2 linked regions of the Pelodiscus sinensis genome follow. The protein of the gene in region 2 interacts with the protein of the main gene of each other region in a biochemical or structural test. Links are inferred from orthologs where the notes say so. Each region holds a gene or a part of one and is shown on either strand. Other genes may lie near its edges.

Region 1 (7,679 bases), on a different chromosome or scaffold from region 2:
TTTCCATCTGAAGCCCCGCCTGGGACGCAAGGCACATGGGAAAGTCAGAGCAGAACAAGCGAGCAGCCACAAAGTCATATGCATAAGGACACAAAATGAAGAGATCTCAATGGTGTATTAGATAATTAAAGAGGATACCCTCAGGTTGATTTAAGCTCTGTTCCAATAAAAGCCAAATCTTAAGATCACTAGAAAGGTTTATTGGAAAACATGCACATTGAGATTTCAGCATTTCCCAGCAGTGTTTGCAATGGGTTCACGTGGGCAAGACAGAACACAGCACAGACTACAAACTCCCAGCCACAGTGCAATCGGCTAGTCCTCATTGTCCTAGCTGAGCAAAGGGTAAACCAGGAGTACTGCTGCTCAGGGGGGGAATTTAAAGCCTTCAGCTTTCATGATCGTCAGGGTTATAACACAGCAGGACTCATCCCCCACCCCTCCCCCCACAACTAGGTGCCATTTTAGCCAAGGCAATCATGCTCTCCATCGCATTTCAAATCTGGCTGCTGTGAAGGAATCTTCCTCCAAAGCACATTGCTCGGGTCTGTTTCCTTGGGGGATCAGCTGTGAGGGTCAGTTCGGTTTCCTACACGAGTCATCCTCTGACAACTGCAGCAGTACATAAGGCTGCAAGAAACTGCGCCGGTCCTCCTTCCTGTCTATCACCATGTCTCTATCTAGCAAGTCAACCTCTGAATATCCCGTCCCCTCCCCAGGAGCCCTTAACAAAAAAATCCTGAAAACTTCATGGCAGAAGCGAGCAAGTGACAGGCCCCTGGGACCCACCTGTGAAAGCATCGTTTACTGCCACCATCTCTGGCTAGCTACTGAGAGCATCGCAGTGACAGCACGCAGCCGATGAGAAGAGCATCCCTTACGGCAGGCTGGGAGGAGGGACGTCACCAAGACAACACTCACTTTGGCATGGGCCCTGAATAGCATCCCCGCCAGCTCCCCGTGGGCCGTAGACATGGAGAGCCGCAGGCTGCGGCTAGTTGCACCGCAGTGCACTAGGCTCACCTGTGGTACTGAGCTTGCAGGAGCTGGAATTCATCTTTAATCCGGTCACAGGAATCAGAGGTCGTGAACTTCAGCTGCTGCGGCAGATGAGACGAACCCTTTGGACACAGAAGAGAGCGCCGGGCAATATGGCAGGAGGGAAAGCGATGCCCAGACAAGCCTTCCCCCTCCAGCACAGCTGTCCCCACAGATGAGGGTCAGCACTGGGCAGCACCCCCAACCCCCAAGCAATGACTGCAGCATCAGCCTCCTTCCCTAGCACTCTTGCACCAAGGACCTGGAATTAAAGCCCCACCTCCAGGAGAACTATTTCTCCCCGCCTCCGCCCCCTCAGATGGGGAACACAGGCCCCAAAAGGGGCCCACGGTCATGCAGCCCTGCTGCTGCTCTGCTAGCTACGGCAATCAGGAAGGTGGAGAGGTCCCAGTTTCTAAAGGCCTCCTTTAATGCGTTTCGCCTCACAGCACCCCTGTGAGGGAGGGCAGGGCTATTACCTCAATTCTACAGACAGGAAACTGAGGCACGGACAGACTAAGCCACTGGCTCTAGGAATGGAATCCAGCAGTCGCCAGTCCCAGGCTGGCATCCCAACCAGTGAGCCAAGCTTTCACTCAGCTGATCTGAGCTCACAATGCCTCCTGCCTCCTTTAGCAACAGGAAGGACAGCACCTCTGCCACCAGGCAACACCCCAGAATTAGAGAGAGAGTTGATAGGGGCCAGGGGATATTTAAACCCACCCCAATCTGCCAGCCTAGGGTTTGTTTGTTTGTTTGTTTCAAGGCAATCCTCCTCCTCTACGGCTCTATCTAGACTCGGGTATTAAAAAGTGGAGGAACAATAAACATTTATTCTTTTCCCATCAGGATAATCAGGGGCTCAAAGCCCCGATGGCAGTAAGCTCGGGGGGGGGGGGGGGGGGGAGATAAATATTCCCATCAGTGCACCGACCCCTCACAGAAACTGGAAGAAGCAGAGCAGCCAGCTTCAAGAAAAGGAAAAGAGCTACTCAGGTAAAAGTGCCCTCACCCCTCCCCCGTCTCCTGCCCCCCACATACCACCCTCTCCCAGACAGCACCTGCACCCCGCCCCTCACCCTCATAAAACACCAACTTGGCCCCCCAGGGCCCAAAGCGGTTTCCACCCAGCACCCCCGTGTCCCTTCCAGCTCGCCCCAGACCCCACGCGAGGCAGAGACGCCCCTTGTGCATTGGCTGGCCCAGCTGCCAGGGTCTTCCCAGCACAAGAGCAGTGGCCGCTTCGCCCCGCTGCACTTCCTGGACCAAGGCGCCCCGAGCCACCCCCGCAGCGCCCCGCCGAGCCCGACACCTCCAGCCCAACCTTGAACTCCCCCCGCACCCCCCTTGCCTCGGGCCCGCCCACGCATCCCCTTACCCGCAGGAGCCCCCGGCGCTTGCCCCAGAGCGCGCTGAGCAGCCCCCACCTGTGCGCCGACCCCCCCGTGGGGTGCAGAGCCCCCCCGCTCCGTGCTTCCCCCACGCACTAAGCGCCCCCCCCCCACGCGCACCCCCCACGCGCGCCCCGGTGCAGCCCCCGGGCCGGGCCCGCGGCTCACCGAGTGCCGGCTTTGCGGAAACATCATGTCAGGCTCGGGCTGCTCCGGCTGCTGCCTGGGCCGGGCCCCGCTGCTCCGCCTTTGTCCCTGCGCAGCGCCCGAGCCTAGGCCGCGTCCCCGCGCCGGGCTGCGGCTCCGCTCGGCTCCGGCCGCCTCGCCTTTTGTCTAATGGCGGCTGCGGCTCCGTCCTGCGGCTGATCAGCACCACCTGCTGCTGCGGCTGCGGCTGCCCCGCGCGCCCCGCTCCGCCCCGCAGCAGCCCGGCCGTGCGCCCCGCTCCGCTCCGCTCCGCTCTGCAGCAGCCCCGCTCCGCGCCGCTCCCCCGGAGCCGGCTCTGCAGCAAAGCCGAGCTGCGCTCCCCCGCCTGGCTGCAGCTCCCCCCAGCGCCCGCCCCCTTGCAGCTCCCCTCTCCGGCAGGGACCTTAGCGCCTCTCCCGGGCCAGGGAACGCCTCCCCTCCCCAGGCGGGTGCAGCTAGCAACACCCTCCCTCCAGCGCATTCCCTCCCTGGACGTGCTTCCTGCTACTCCCGCTCCGGCTGAACAGCTAACGCGTCACCCGGGCCTCCCCCTTCCAAAGATGCTGCAGCGGCCCTGGCTTGAAAGGGTTTCCATTCTGTGCTATTTGGGTCAATGGCGCCCCCCCCGCCCCCCGCCCAGTACAAAAACTGCTCCAGCCCCTCTGTGGGCAGGACTCAGTCCCAGAAAGGCTGCAGGGATCCTCTTCATAGGGGTCTAGGCACAGTAGGGTTTGTGTGTCTAGGCCCAAGTTCCCTATGAGCTAAGGCTTGTGCAGCCACACAGTTGAGACTCCAATGCCACCCCACTGGTTGGCAGAGCACCCACAGAGAGTTTTTTTTCTCCTGGCAGTGCACTTTCACACATGACTCAGTGTACATAAAAAATTTATTCTGCATCTGGATTGAAAAGATTAGAGGGAACACTGCTCTAAGCCGGTGGCTCTCAACCTTCGCACGCTACGCTGCCCCGTTCGTCAGATGCATAAATCAGCCTGAATTTTTCAGACGTGGAACTTCCAGTGGGCTGTAATAGTAGCCGCTGGAGTGAGTGGCTACTACACCTGCCAGGTGAAGGGGATATAACATGAATCATGCATCTGACAAAGTGGGGGTCCAGCCCATGAAAGCTTATGACCAGGGCTCGACCAATCGCCATATCTACTTGCCTGTGGCGAGTAGATTTCAGCCAGTTGCCCCGTTCACCGGTGCTGTGTGCATGCACAGTGCTGGTCTGGCGCATGCGCGGTGTGGGGCTGGCGAGTAGATCTTGCCGCGGTTTGTCGAGCCCTGCTTATAACCAAATAAGTCTGTTAGTCTTTAAGGTGCCACAGGACTCCACCTTGTTTTTGCTGAAACAGACTGACACAGCTACCCCTCTGAAACATGGCTACTCATTTCAGGACTCTGATTTCTCTCATGTCCCCCTCCCCCAAGTTTCGCCTAATTTAAAAACGACTTGCTTACAAAATCAGACATTAAAATATTTAAAAAGCGTCACAGCCACACTATTACTGAAAAATTGCTGACTTCCTCCTTTTTACCATATAAAATAAATCAACTGGCATATAAATATTGTACTTATATTTCAGTGTATGTAGTACATGGAGCAGAATAAATAAGTAATTGTATGATATTTTTATTTTATATTGACTTCACTAGTGCTTTTATGTAGCCTGTAAGCAAATATCTGGATGAATTGATGTACCCCCCAGATGATCTCTGTGTACCCGCACAGGTACATATACCCCTGGCTAAAAACCACTGCTGTAGGCCCTACAAACATAATCATTCTACCATTACTCTCTGTTTTCTTCTCACACAGGATCCCTCCTCCTGTGTTGTGCTGAATGCATCTCCCCTTTAAAATGTCCTTTCCTGCAGTGCAATTTGGGAGCTGGAAAAGTTAGGCCAGAGCCCCAAAAACCCTAATGGTTTCCTTGTAGCCTTCAGACTGAACATAGTCACTTAACCCCCAGCTATGCAGTGAGCAAGCCTTGGACATTACTCTGATTCTCTTGGCTATTCCAATCTCTTATGGAGTGATAAAGGAAGTCTATTTTCCACCTATATGCAAACAGCAGGGGCCATGGTTTAACATCGTGCCCATGACCAGATGCCTGCCCCCTCTAGCAGTGTGGTACTCCCTAAATTGGTGTTAGCATGAGGTATGCACCCACTGATAGAGATGAAAGAGCTGTATCAGCTGAACTATTGTAACATGTTGTGTTCAGGGGCCTTGCTTTATGTCTTGGCTGTGAGTAACTCCAGAGCTGAAACCCAACATGGCTAGGAATTTTCAGACCTGGAATCCCAATGGGCTGTAACAGTAGTCACTGGAGTCACTGCAGTCAGGTGAAGGGTATATACCCTTTTGCAACCCTGCCCCATAACTCCCGCCTGTCACGTCTTTATTGCATGGTCTCTGCAGCACTTCCAAATTCTCCTGAAAGCAAGTGACATGGCAGAGAAATCTGTGAGGGTGAAGTTCCCTTCACTTTTACCTGGGAGGGACAAGCCTAAAATATTGGTGAGCTATGGTAGGGAGCATGAAGAGGGCTGCAAATTGCAACATGCAGCATAAGAACACAAGAACGGCCAGACTGGGTCAGACCAAGGATCCATCTAGCCCAAGGTCCTGTCTTCCAACAGTGCCAGTTGCCCCAAAGGGAATGAACAGGGAATCATCAAGTGAGCCCCCCCCCCCCCCCCCCAATGTCACCCATTCCCAGCTTCTGACAAACAGAGGCTAGGGACACCATTCCTGCCCGTCCTGGCTAATAAGCATTTATGGACCTATACTCCATGAATTTATCTTGTTCTTTTTTGAAACCATTTAACATTTCATTCAAAAATTCTTGGAGCACAGTGATCCATGCAAGAAAGTCAGTTGGGAAAAGCATATTTTTCTCTAGTGCCAGATGAGACCGTTGATCCTTATGTTACAAACCTGTGTATTAAAGCTAGGCCATGCAAATTTGAACAGTTAATAGCTATATACTAATTAGAGACAGAATTACTTGTGGCATAACTGATAAATAGGTCAAAGCAAGGTGTTTATGAGAAATGGATTTGACTTTGCAAAGGACTGGATATTTTCAAGGCTGGTGAAAACTGCTTCTCAAAGTGTTAAAAAGCAGTGAAAGAACTGAAGTGCAACTAATTAAAAATGCATAAAGACAGAACACAAAGGCAAGTAAACAGCAGATGCAGTGAATGCGGAAGCAATCACGAGATGACAGAAAGGTGTGCAGCCCAAGGGATGCGGTGTCATACACACAATAAAGGCAACCATTTTGCACAGGGCATTGCTTTCAGCACAATCTGAAACGCTGTATAAAAGCAAAATACATTCATGGACGGACAGCTCTCACGATGATCTTTGATAGATCCCTTACAGAGCAAGTTGATATAATAGTTTGGTTTATGATGCTGGAAATAAATGAACAAAAAGTGAATTCCAGCACAGAGAGGGAAATTGAGTGCCACATAATCACAGTAGGCAAATACAAAAATACTAGTGACGACCCAGTGTTAAATATCTAAGCTTGCTTCATATAGTAAACACATAATGAGCCCACCTATCTACGGTATCCCAGTGTCTCAGCATAAGGACAGATTTCACTCCATAGAGTTTGAAACACTGGAACAAGAAGGACCCAATGGGTTTGCACTGAAGAGCAGTTTGCAAATGCATATCTATTTAAATAGGTGCAAAACCTGATCAAAATGCAGGAAATGGTCTGGGAGTGTCTCGAAAGGTATTTGAGAGGCTTAGAAGCGAAGAGCCCTGCAAATCTGCAGATATCCACTTTATATCCATAGGTATCCGCATCTGTAGATGTGGATGCAGATATCTGTGGCTCATTTTTGCAGATACAAATTTTGTAGCTGCGTAGGGCTCTATTGATGCATCATACAGCAAAATACATGTTCGAGGTAATACAGTGGCAATACGGTGGAAGGGGGGAGGGCACCCCTTTTCAAACACAGGGATGGGAGTCCCTTCATGGCATATCAAATGGTCTTGGGATTGAAACAGGAATTGATGAGATTAGGGCTGCCAGCCCATGAATTTGGTTCCCAGTCATCTCACAATAGGGGTGCTATGGCAGCAGCGCAAATAGGCATGGAAGTGGAGGCAATCAGGCAATCTCTCCCTACCATCAATCTGTAATTGTGAATGCCCTTGATATATTGGACCATCTTCTGTAGGTGAGAGAGACCTGCTTCTGAGCTCCCATAGAGCTCTTTTTTGGGTCATGTTCTCTGTAAAGTGCAGCTAGCATTGAGCAATAAAGTAAGAGCTGAACTTGGCCAGGCAGTAAAATTCGATGCGACTGAGTGAACACACATTCCAACTGCTTAGGGTACTCGCATGGTCACCACAGTCAAACCAAGCAAGTTAAGGATTGCATAGATTTGAATAAGGACATCAAACTTGAGAGCTACCCCACGAGAACAGCTGCAGAAGCCCTGTGTCACCACTCCGTTATTTTTTTTTAACTGAGCTGTTGCACATCGCATCATAAGAATGGCCATACGGGGACAGACCAAAGGTCCGTCTAGCCCAGTATCCTGTCTTCCATCAGACAACAATAAGCCTAGCTCTTATATAGCACTTTACACAAGTAGCTCGCAAAGTGCTTGACAAGAGAAATGTCTATCACTAACCCTTTTTTTACAGATGGGAAACTGAGGCATAGCACGTTACACTGACTTGCCCAGGATCACCCAGCATCAGAACCAGAAATAGAGGTCCAGTCTGCTGAGTTTCAGGCTGTGTTCTGGGCCCCAAGACACACTGTTCACACACCGTGGAATTCCAGATACACAGATACCAAACTGACTTACAGTTCACTAGTGGCTCATTTTGGCAATTTTCTTTGCTGCATCAGTTTAAGGATCACAGGTCAAACCATCATCATGTAGAGACCAATGGGTCAGCAGGAAAATCAATGCAATCAGCAAATAACATAATTTTAAGAAGTCCTTGCAATTTCAAATAATCCATACGTCCTTCACTGCTAGAATAACACGATGCACCACACAATGCTTTGGGTCATA
Region 2 (7,773 bases):
ATGAATTTTTCTAGCGTCAGCTTCCAGCTATTAGATCTTATGAGATCTTTGCTAGATTGAACAGCCCATTATCAAGTGTCTGTTCCTCTGGTAATTATCCATAGTCTGATCAAATCACCCCTTCTCTTTGTTAGGCTAAACAAATTGAGTTCCTCAAGTCTAAAACACATAACAAACAAACCACTTCCGGTTTTAGTAATTTACTGTGTGTCTGTATTTCCGCCCCAGATGTGGCGGGACAGAAGAGCTCTGGGTTATGGGATAATATGGAAAGTGCCACACTACATAAGAACTAGGTGTTAATGGTTACAGGCCCAAAACATCAAGTCAGAGATGCCATTTCCATGGTGTAATGTCCAGTCAGCTCAAGCCCAGCCCTTCCTCCAGTCTGAAGGATCCTGCCACCTGTGTTTTTCCCAGTGTGTTGGCCTTTCTTAAGAGACACCAATTCCCCCTCTTCTCCTTTTCCCACATTTCAGATCCCAAATCCACTGTGCCTGCCTTACCCCCAAAGCAACCAGGGAAATCACTGCCAACCAAGGCCTAGGAAGCAGTTTTCACAAGCCACCATCACAATACTTTTCCAAAACAAAACAGAGGCCCAGTTGAGGAAATAATGGGTGGGGTGGGGGGAGAAGGGACAAAGTGGGGGAAACCCAGACTCCTGGGGAATCCCAGCTTCTCTTCAAGCCCCCCATATTCATAACCAGCACTCCAGTAATGGGTGCTCCCCCCACACTCACATCTGTATGAGCTCAACTGCGTTTACACATCCAACTGTCCCAGTAACTCGCTGTATGAGTATTTCATGCAAACCCTCCAGAGATGAAGGTAAGGAGAAGAGATACCCCAGAGTTAAATGGGGGTCCTGAATTTGAGGAAAGTCCCTATTGCTGGGGTGAGCGTATACACTTACCTTCCATTTCTGCCATAAGTCAGGCTAGGTTCCAGGCTAGGAATACAGGAGGTACTGCGGTGGGTGCTCCCTGGCTGGAGGGAGTCAAGGAAGGGGGCTCCCAGCTTTGGAGCCAGAAGAATCCAGGGAATACGAGGCTGGGGAGGGCTCCTGCGCGGGGCTCAGGAAACAAACCCCAGTCCACAAGAAGGACGTGTGCGAGCTCGGGGGGGTGTCTCAGTACAACGGCAGGCGGGGGGGGGGGGGGGTTAGACTCCAAGGGGATGGGGGCCTCTGTGGGGCGAGGCCCCCAACGGAGAGAATTCTGAGAGGGAACGGGAGGATTGTGGCTCCTGTGCGGGTCCTAGGCGGGAGGGGGATCCCGACCCCGTGTCCCAGCCCCACTCGGGAGAGGGCTGCTGGTGGGGCGTCCCGAGGAGCTTGTCCGGGCGGGAGACGAGTCCAATCGTGGGCGGGTCCAGCCCCTCGAAGGGTTCCTAGGCGGAAGCGGTGCTCCGGGCCCAATCGGGGGTCCGCGTCAGGGGCGGGGCCAGGGGCGTGGTCCACGCGGGGTCCTCCGGCGGGATCGGGTCCAGCACCCGCCGTATCCGTTCGCAAACTACGCCGCACGCGGAAATGCCCGCAGCACGTGATCCGCCCCGCTGCTGGGAAAGCCCCGCCTCATGCAAACGAGCGCGGGGGGGGGGATTCCACGCAGGCGCAGAAGCGACGAAGGCAGCCAGGGCAAATTGCAAAGCCAAGAGAGGCGGCGGGGCCATGTTGCAGCTGGGAACGTGGGGGCTATTAAGAACCTAACCAAGAGTGCTCTGGGGTCATTCAGGAATCACACACGGGACCATTATGGAGCCCTTGACTAGAGGGACCAATTCATGAGACATAAACCATACTACGAGTAGGGTAGGGCCTACTGCATTATACAGGGACCAGAGTGGGGGTGATACAAGGCTACATATGGGGCTGTGCATGGACATTATAGTGCCCTATAGGCTATGAGAAGGCCACAAAGGAACCAGGAAACATGTGTCTTACAGCTGCTGTGGCCTCCCCATTGGGTTTTTTAGGCCAAATGTCCACAGCAGTAAATGGTTGAATAAATGGCCCTGCAGTTGCCTTTGGGGATTCAAATCCCAGAGGTGGCCCATTAAGGCTATTTCTTAGCAACACTGTTGTTCTGTTCCCTGTTTATAGGACACCATAGGCACCATTAGCTAATAAACTCATGCTGCCTCCCTTAAAGAGGACACAACCATATCACCTTACCTCTGCCCCCAGCAAATTCTTGGGCTATGTCTACACTGGCAGCTTCTTGCACAAGAACATCTTGCACAAGGATTCTTGTGCTAGAACTCTTGCACAAGAACACGGCCACACTGTCATGTGCTTTTGCACAAGAGCATCCATGGCAGTGTGGACGCTGTCTTGCTCAAGAAAGCTCTGATGGCCATTTTAGCTATAGGGCTTTCTTGCACAAGAAACCCCTGCTGGGCGTCCGCACTGCCCTCTTGCGCAAGAGAGCTTACATTTGTTAGAAAAGAGCATAGTTCTTGCACAAGAAGCCCTCTCTTACCACACTTTACTGTAAATCTTCTTGTGTAAGAGCTGGCGAGCAGTGTGGAGGCTCTGCGGAAGGATGGCTGTTCTTGCGCAAAAACCCGCCAGTGTAGACATAACCTTGGAGAGATTGTGCTTCATTTCCTTTCTGGTGCAAATATCATTCTTCAGGCTCTCACTTTGAGCATGACATACTTCTCTTTGCTTCCCTTCCTTGGCCCTCCCTTTTCTCCTGTATCAGTCTAAGCTGCTTCTCTTCCCTTTCAAGGCCCTCCATTGCCAATCCCCATCTGACTCATCTCTTACAGGGCTGCTGGAACAGTTTTTACAAGAAGGTGCTGAGAGTCATTGAACCAAACTGTAAGCCACAAACATAATGGAAACCACTTCAAGCCAAAGAGTGCAGCAGCACCCTGACTTCCAGCACCTATACATTTTCATTTTCAGCCCATGCTGCCAAGCATTAACTGCCTAAAAGGGATGTTACACAAATAAACACATTTTAAATCTATAACCATTGAATTTTCCAGTGGCTACACATTTACATGCAGTGGGAAGGAAGGCGGAAGCCAGTGCTGGCAAGGAGCTGGTTTTTAAGTCAGGTCCCTGTCGTCAGCAGCAGCTCCTGTCCTCCCTCCCACTGCCCCCCCCCCCCGCCCCTGCTGCCTCTGTATCAGAGGAAGCAATGCAGGGGGCAGGAGGCTTCCTGTGAGCACTAGCTCCCACCTCCTCCTTATCCCCCACCGCTCTGTGGGAGGCAGCAGTACGGGGGGGGGGGGGGGGGGAAGGCTAGGCTACCTGCACATACCAGCTCCCACCCACTGAGGCAACAGTGCGGGAGGAGGTTGGTTTGACAGGAGCTGGTACACATGGGAACCATCTTAAAAGCTGGCTCCTCCCCCCCTCTGTTGCCTATGTGTCAAAGGCAGCAGGGGGGGGGGCGTGTAACACAGTGTTAAGCAATGAGCCCAGACTCATTGATTAATCGTGTACTTGGATACACACTCACATCCCTACTGCATACTTATTATATTTCTACTAAGCCTCTTCATCCTTTCTCCTATGCTATCACTCATGTTTATGAGTTCCCTGTAAGTGCATGCAAAGCTATCTCATTGAGCTCCTTCAAACTATCCTTTGATGGGATGCTTCAAAAAGCATGACATGTAGATTGTTGGTGGTGAACCCATTGCCCAGCATGCAGACCAGATTGTCTCATTGTTCATGGCTGTATCCACCTGTCATTTCTGGATTTATAGGTTGTGAGGCAGGTTCTATGTTTTTACAGCACCTTGCAACATGGGGATCCTAGGCAAGCATAGAGAAAAGGCTACCTATTAACAGCCTCTTTAAGTCAGAACTTGATATGAGGGTGATTTACAAGACAGAACTAGAAAGCCCTCTAAAAGAAGATTAAAGATTCCTGGGGTCATTGAGGCAAGGCAAGTGGTGCCACAGCAAACTACTGGAAATCTATGGAGACAGATGCTGCCACACCAACTTAGAAAGCTGGGCTCTAGTCCTAGTTCTGCTTTAAGCTTCCTACCTGGACACAGAAAGGGTGCTTTTCGCCTGCCCCGGCAGCGATACGAGGTCAATAAGGAAGGGCTGGGAAGCAGGTGGACATGTTAGAAGCTTGAACTCCTGAGCCCTGGCTCCGAGTCTCTGGCTACTACAAGTTAGGTGGCTGTGGGCCCCAGCAGCTGTCGGGCCCAGGGCTCCAGGGGCCCGTGTCACGCGGCTCCACTGAAGGCCCCCCCTCTACTTGGTTGCGGTTTTAGAAACTGGGAGGGAGGGAAGGCGATGGGGAAGCCGAATCTCGGGGACCCCTCGAAACGCTGCCGGGCCCTCAACCGGCCTCGTGAGGCTAAACGCTCCAGAGGCCTCGTCACGTCCGAGTCACATGATTTTCTCCCATGCGCCCAGCTAGCTGCGCACGTACGTGGGGCAATCTCCCGCTGTCGCCATTCGTGCTTCGCCCGCTAACTGCGGTCCCGCCAACTCCTCAGATTCCTTTCCGATTCAGGCGAACGCCACGAACAGCCCCGGAGCGGGTCCTCGCTGGGACCGGAAGGAGTTAATCATGCTGCCGGAAGTAATTCTGAGCAGGGCCGAACGCTAGCAACATATACTGAGTGGACCGGAAGTAGCTATAACAGACCGGAAGGGCCCCCACGCGTTCCCGGAAACGTCCCGGCACGGGGAACGGAAGAGAAGACCCCGCTCGCCGGCGAGCATTCAAGATGGCGGAGGTGGTGAGTGGGATGTGTAGGGTGGGGTCCGGCGGGGGGATTCCTGTGGGTTCCTGTTTAACTGTTCTGCATCCCGCCCGCAGGGAGAGGTGACCGAGGGCTGCCGGCTGCCCGTGCTGCGTCGCAACCAGGATAACGAAGATGAATGGCGTAAGTGAGGGGGTGGGGCTAAATGATGGGGGTGGGATTTAAAGAGGAGGGGCTAGAGGGTATATGAGAGGCACGGGGGATATCTTGGGAGACGTAGGGACACGGGGCCGTGTGGAAAGGGAGGACGGGCGGGAGTCTCAGAAGGCTAATGAAGAGACCAGTGTATAGGAGGAAATGGGCCCAATGCAGAGGATAGAAGAATCGGCCAATGGGGGACCTCAGTTGGAAAAAGGGATAAGGCTGCATCATTTATGAAAGGGGGAAACAGGGAATGTGAGGGGGGCAGTAAGCACGTGGAGCTGGGCATCTCTTTCCTTTTAGAGGCTTTGAACCCAGATTGTAGGAATGATTGGTCATCTCTAGTGCTTGCCATGCTTTTGGGATGCATCTTAGGTTCCCTAGGGAGGGAAATGTTAGCCTGTCATTTTGGAACTGCCAACTCATCTCCTGGTTAAAGGGAGTGCCCCAAAGCTGTGGGATAATCCCTTCCATTTCAGGTCATGGTCAAGGATCCCAGGGCAGCATTTGAAGGCGAGAGCTGTCACACTTTGGGTGGGAGAGACTCTGGATCAGTGTTTCTCAACCTTTTTTTGTATAAGGTAGCCCCTTTAAAAAAAAAAAAAAAAAACCATAAGTACCTTGAGTACCTACAGTTTTCAGACATGCAATGTTTTCTACCATTGCAACACATTTGTTTAAATAATTTAATCGTAGCTTAGCTGGCGATGAAATTTTTGGGTGTAAAAAATACAAAAATAATAAAGTGCTGTAAAACTTTTTTAAAAAATCAGTTTTCTCCAAATTTCAGTTGTTGATCTACCCCCAAACTTCTCTTGAGTACCTCTGAGGATACTTGTACCACCGATTGAGAAACACTGTTCTGGATAATACCCAGGGCACTGCCCCAGAATCAGAATGATCTCCGGTATCTATATAACTGTATTGAGGATCAAGTTTGGCCTTGGTGTGGACACATGTTGCAGGGATGTGCTGATCTGCGAGTGTGGCCCTTGGTACCTACAAATATAAAGGTACATTTTTGTGCATTTTTCTCTCCCAGTATATCTCTCAAATATACTTGGGGAGTGAGCTCTTGTGAGCAAGGATTTTTTCTCACTCTGCAGTGCTAGGCACAGAGGAGAGACCTCCTGACCCAGAAAATGTTGGTTCTACTGAAACACTGCCAGAGTTGGAGAAAAAATCTCTAGTATGAAAAATGCCTCATTCTAGTGCAAACATCATGTATTTTTCTATACGCACTTTATTGAAATAATAATCTCTCATATGTCTATATTGTCACCCTCCCAAGTTCTGCAGAGATTTCACCTGCTAGATTTGGTAGAGGGTATTCTTAATTTATACTCTTCAAAGTGTTCCCACTTAAACAATACCACAGCCATAGGAATTAATTGCCACACTAGATCAGACCTGGGTTACATGCAGCTGAGTGTTTCAGTGGAACGTGTAAAAACTTTTACATTGTTTTGGAATAACCTGATAGGAGGTGGGTTCCCCCAATACTTAGAAGATAGCTTAACTTTTGAAATGGGAGGTTTCCAAAACTCCTGTTCTTTTTTTCGGGTTGACCCTCGATGGTCTCCTCCTTATGAGCTTCCAGTCTCCTTTGAGATCCTGCACTTAACTGTGTCAAGTGCCAGTGAGTTCCAGAGGCTGGTGGTGTATTACATGAAAAAGAATGTTGTTTGATTGGTTTTGAAGTGTTCTTGAAATTTTCATTGCAGTTATGCTACAAGACATGGAAATGATGTGCCCATCCCCATTCTCTATCCCTGTCATTTTTCTATATACTTTTATCATGTGTCATTTCTTCATCTGCTCTGTAAACCAGACAATCCCAATAACTTATTTTTCTAGGAGAGTTCCTCTTCCCCCATCCCCACCCTGGTGCCGTCTCTGAATCGTGGACCCCCCCCCCCCATCTAATTCTGCTAAATTCTTGTTCACCTGGGAGATCAAACCAGAATGCAGAGTTTATAGAGACCAAGGCCAAAAAGGATTGACCATCCAGTCTGATCACCAGCATTACCTAAGCCTGAGACTCCATCTCCGACATTCCTGCATTGAGCACAGATCTGGGAGTTGAGCTAGAGTGAAGCTTTTAGAAAGAGATGTCTAATCTTGATTTAAAGATGCATTTCCAAGTCATTTCTAGCCTGAATATCCAGCAGTTGGATCAACTTCTAGCTTTATCTGCTGCATTAACAACCCCTCTGTTGTCAAGAATCTTTTTCCCATGTAGCGTCGTCCAGCCATCTTTTAACCTCCTCCTGTCACACAGAGCACACGTTGTCAGGCGAGTCTTCCAAACACTTGAATCATTCTTATATCTCTTTCCATCTTGTCAGCTTGTTTTTAGAAGTGTGGCCATCCAAACAGGACACAATATCCAGTAATGCTGTTACTTTTGTACATAGCCCATCCTAGCTTCTGCCTGAAATACCCCTGTTTATCCATCTAATGTGCATTCACCCTTTTAGCTACAGTGTCACATTGGAAGGTCATATTCAACTGTTTATCTACCATGACCTCATGTCATTTTCAGAGTTGCTGCTTTCCACAGTACAGTAAACATCTTAAACAGTTGACCTGCACTCTTAGCTGTGTGACCTTGTTCTTTTGGACTTCCAATAGTTAAAAGTAATGCTCCAGATGACTAGAACTGAAAGAAATGAATCAAACTAATGTACATATTTTTCTTTTCTCACCAGATTGCTCATTGTGTGCATTTGATAGTTCAGTGCCGTTTCACTTTTAACTTTCCACAGTACAATTTTTCGTTGCTGGAAAAAAAACCCGTTATAGGCATCAACGTGAGGTTAGGAAGAAAAATCCTTCTAAAAGTGTTTTAAAAGGAATATAAATATTGGGAGATTGCTCCAATCC

Evidence for each region.
Region 1: the proteins of RELA (region 2) and TLE5 form a complex in vitro, tested with the Homo sapiens proteins (2 studies listed by BioGRID). The link is inferred for Pelodiscus sinensis from reciprocal best matches to the Homo sapiens genes RELA and TLE5.

The regions. Positions count from the first base shown.
Region 1 is NC_134729.1:15,388,629-15,396,307, reverse strand, and holds the start of TLE5 (TLE family member 5), read right to left. Parts: upstream 3,035-7,679; 5' UTR 2,625-3,034; coding exon 2,598-2,624; intron 1,122-2,597; coding exon 1,024-1,121; intron 1-1,023. UniProt on the Homo sapiens protein: Transcriptional corepressor. Acts as a dominant repressor towards other family members. Inhibits NF-kappa-B-regulated gene expression. May be required for the initiation and maintenance of the differentiated state.
Region 2 is NC_134721.1:32,635,246-32,643,018, forward strand, and holds the start of RELA (transcription factor p65), read right to left. Parts: upstream 3,101-7,773; 5' UTR 933-3,100; coding exon 917-932; intron 1-916. Other genes in the region: histone acetyltransferase KAT5, read left to right, coding at 4,711-4,722, 4,803-4,869. UniProt on the Homo sapiens protein: NF-kappa-B is a pleiotropic transcription factor present in almost all cell types and is the endpoint of a series of signal transduction events that are initiated by a vast array of stimuli related to many biological processes such as inflammation, immunity, differentiation, cell growth, tumorigenesis and apoptosis.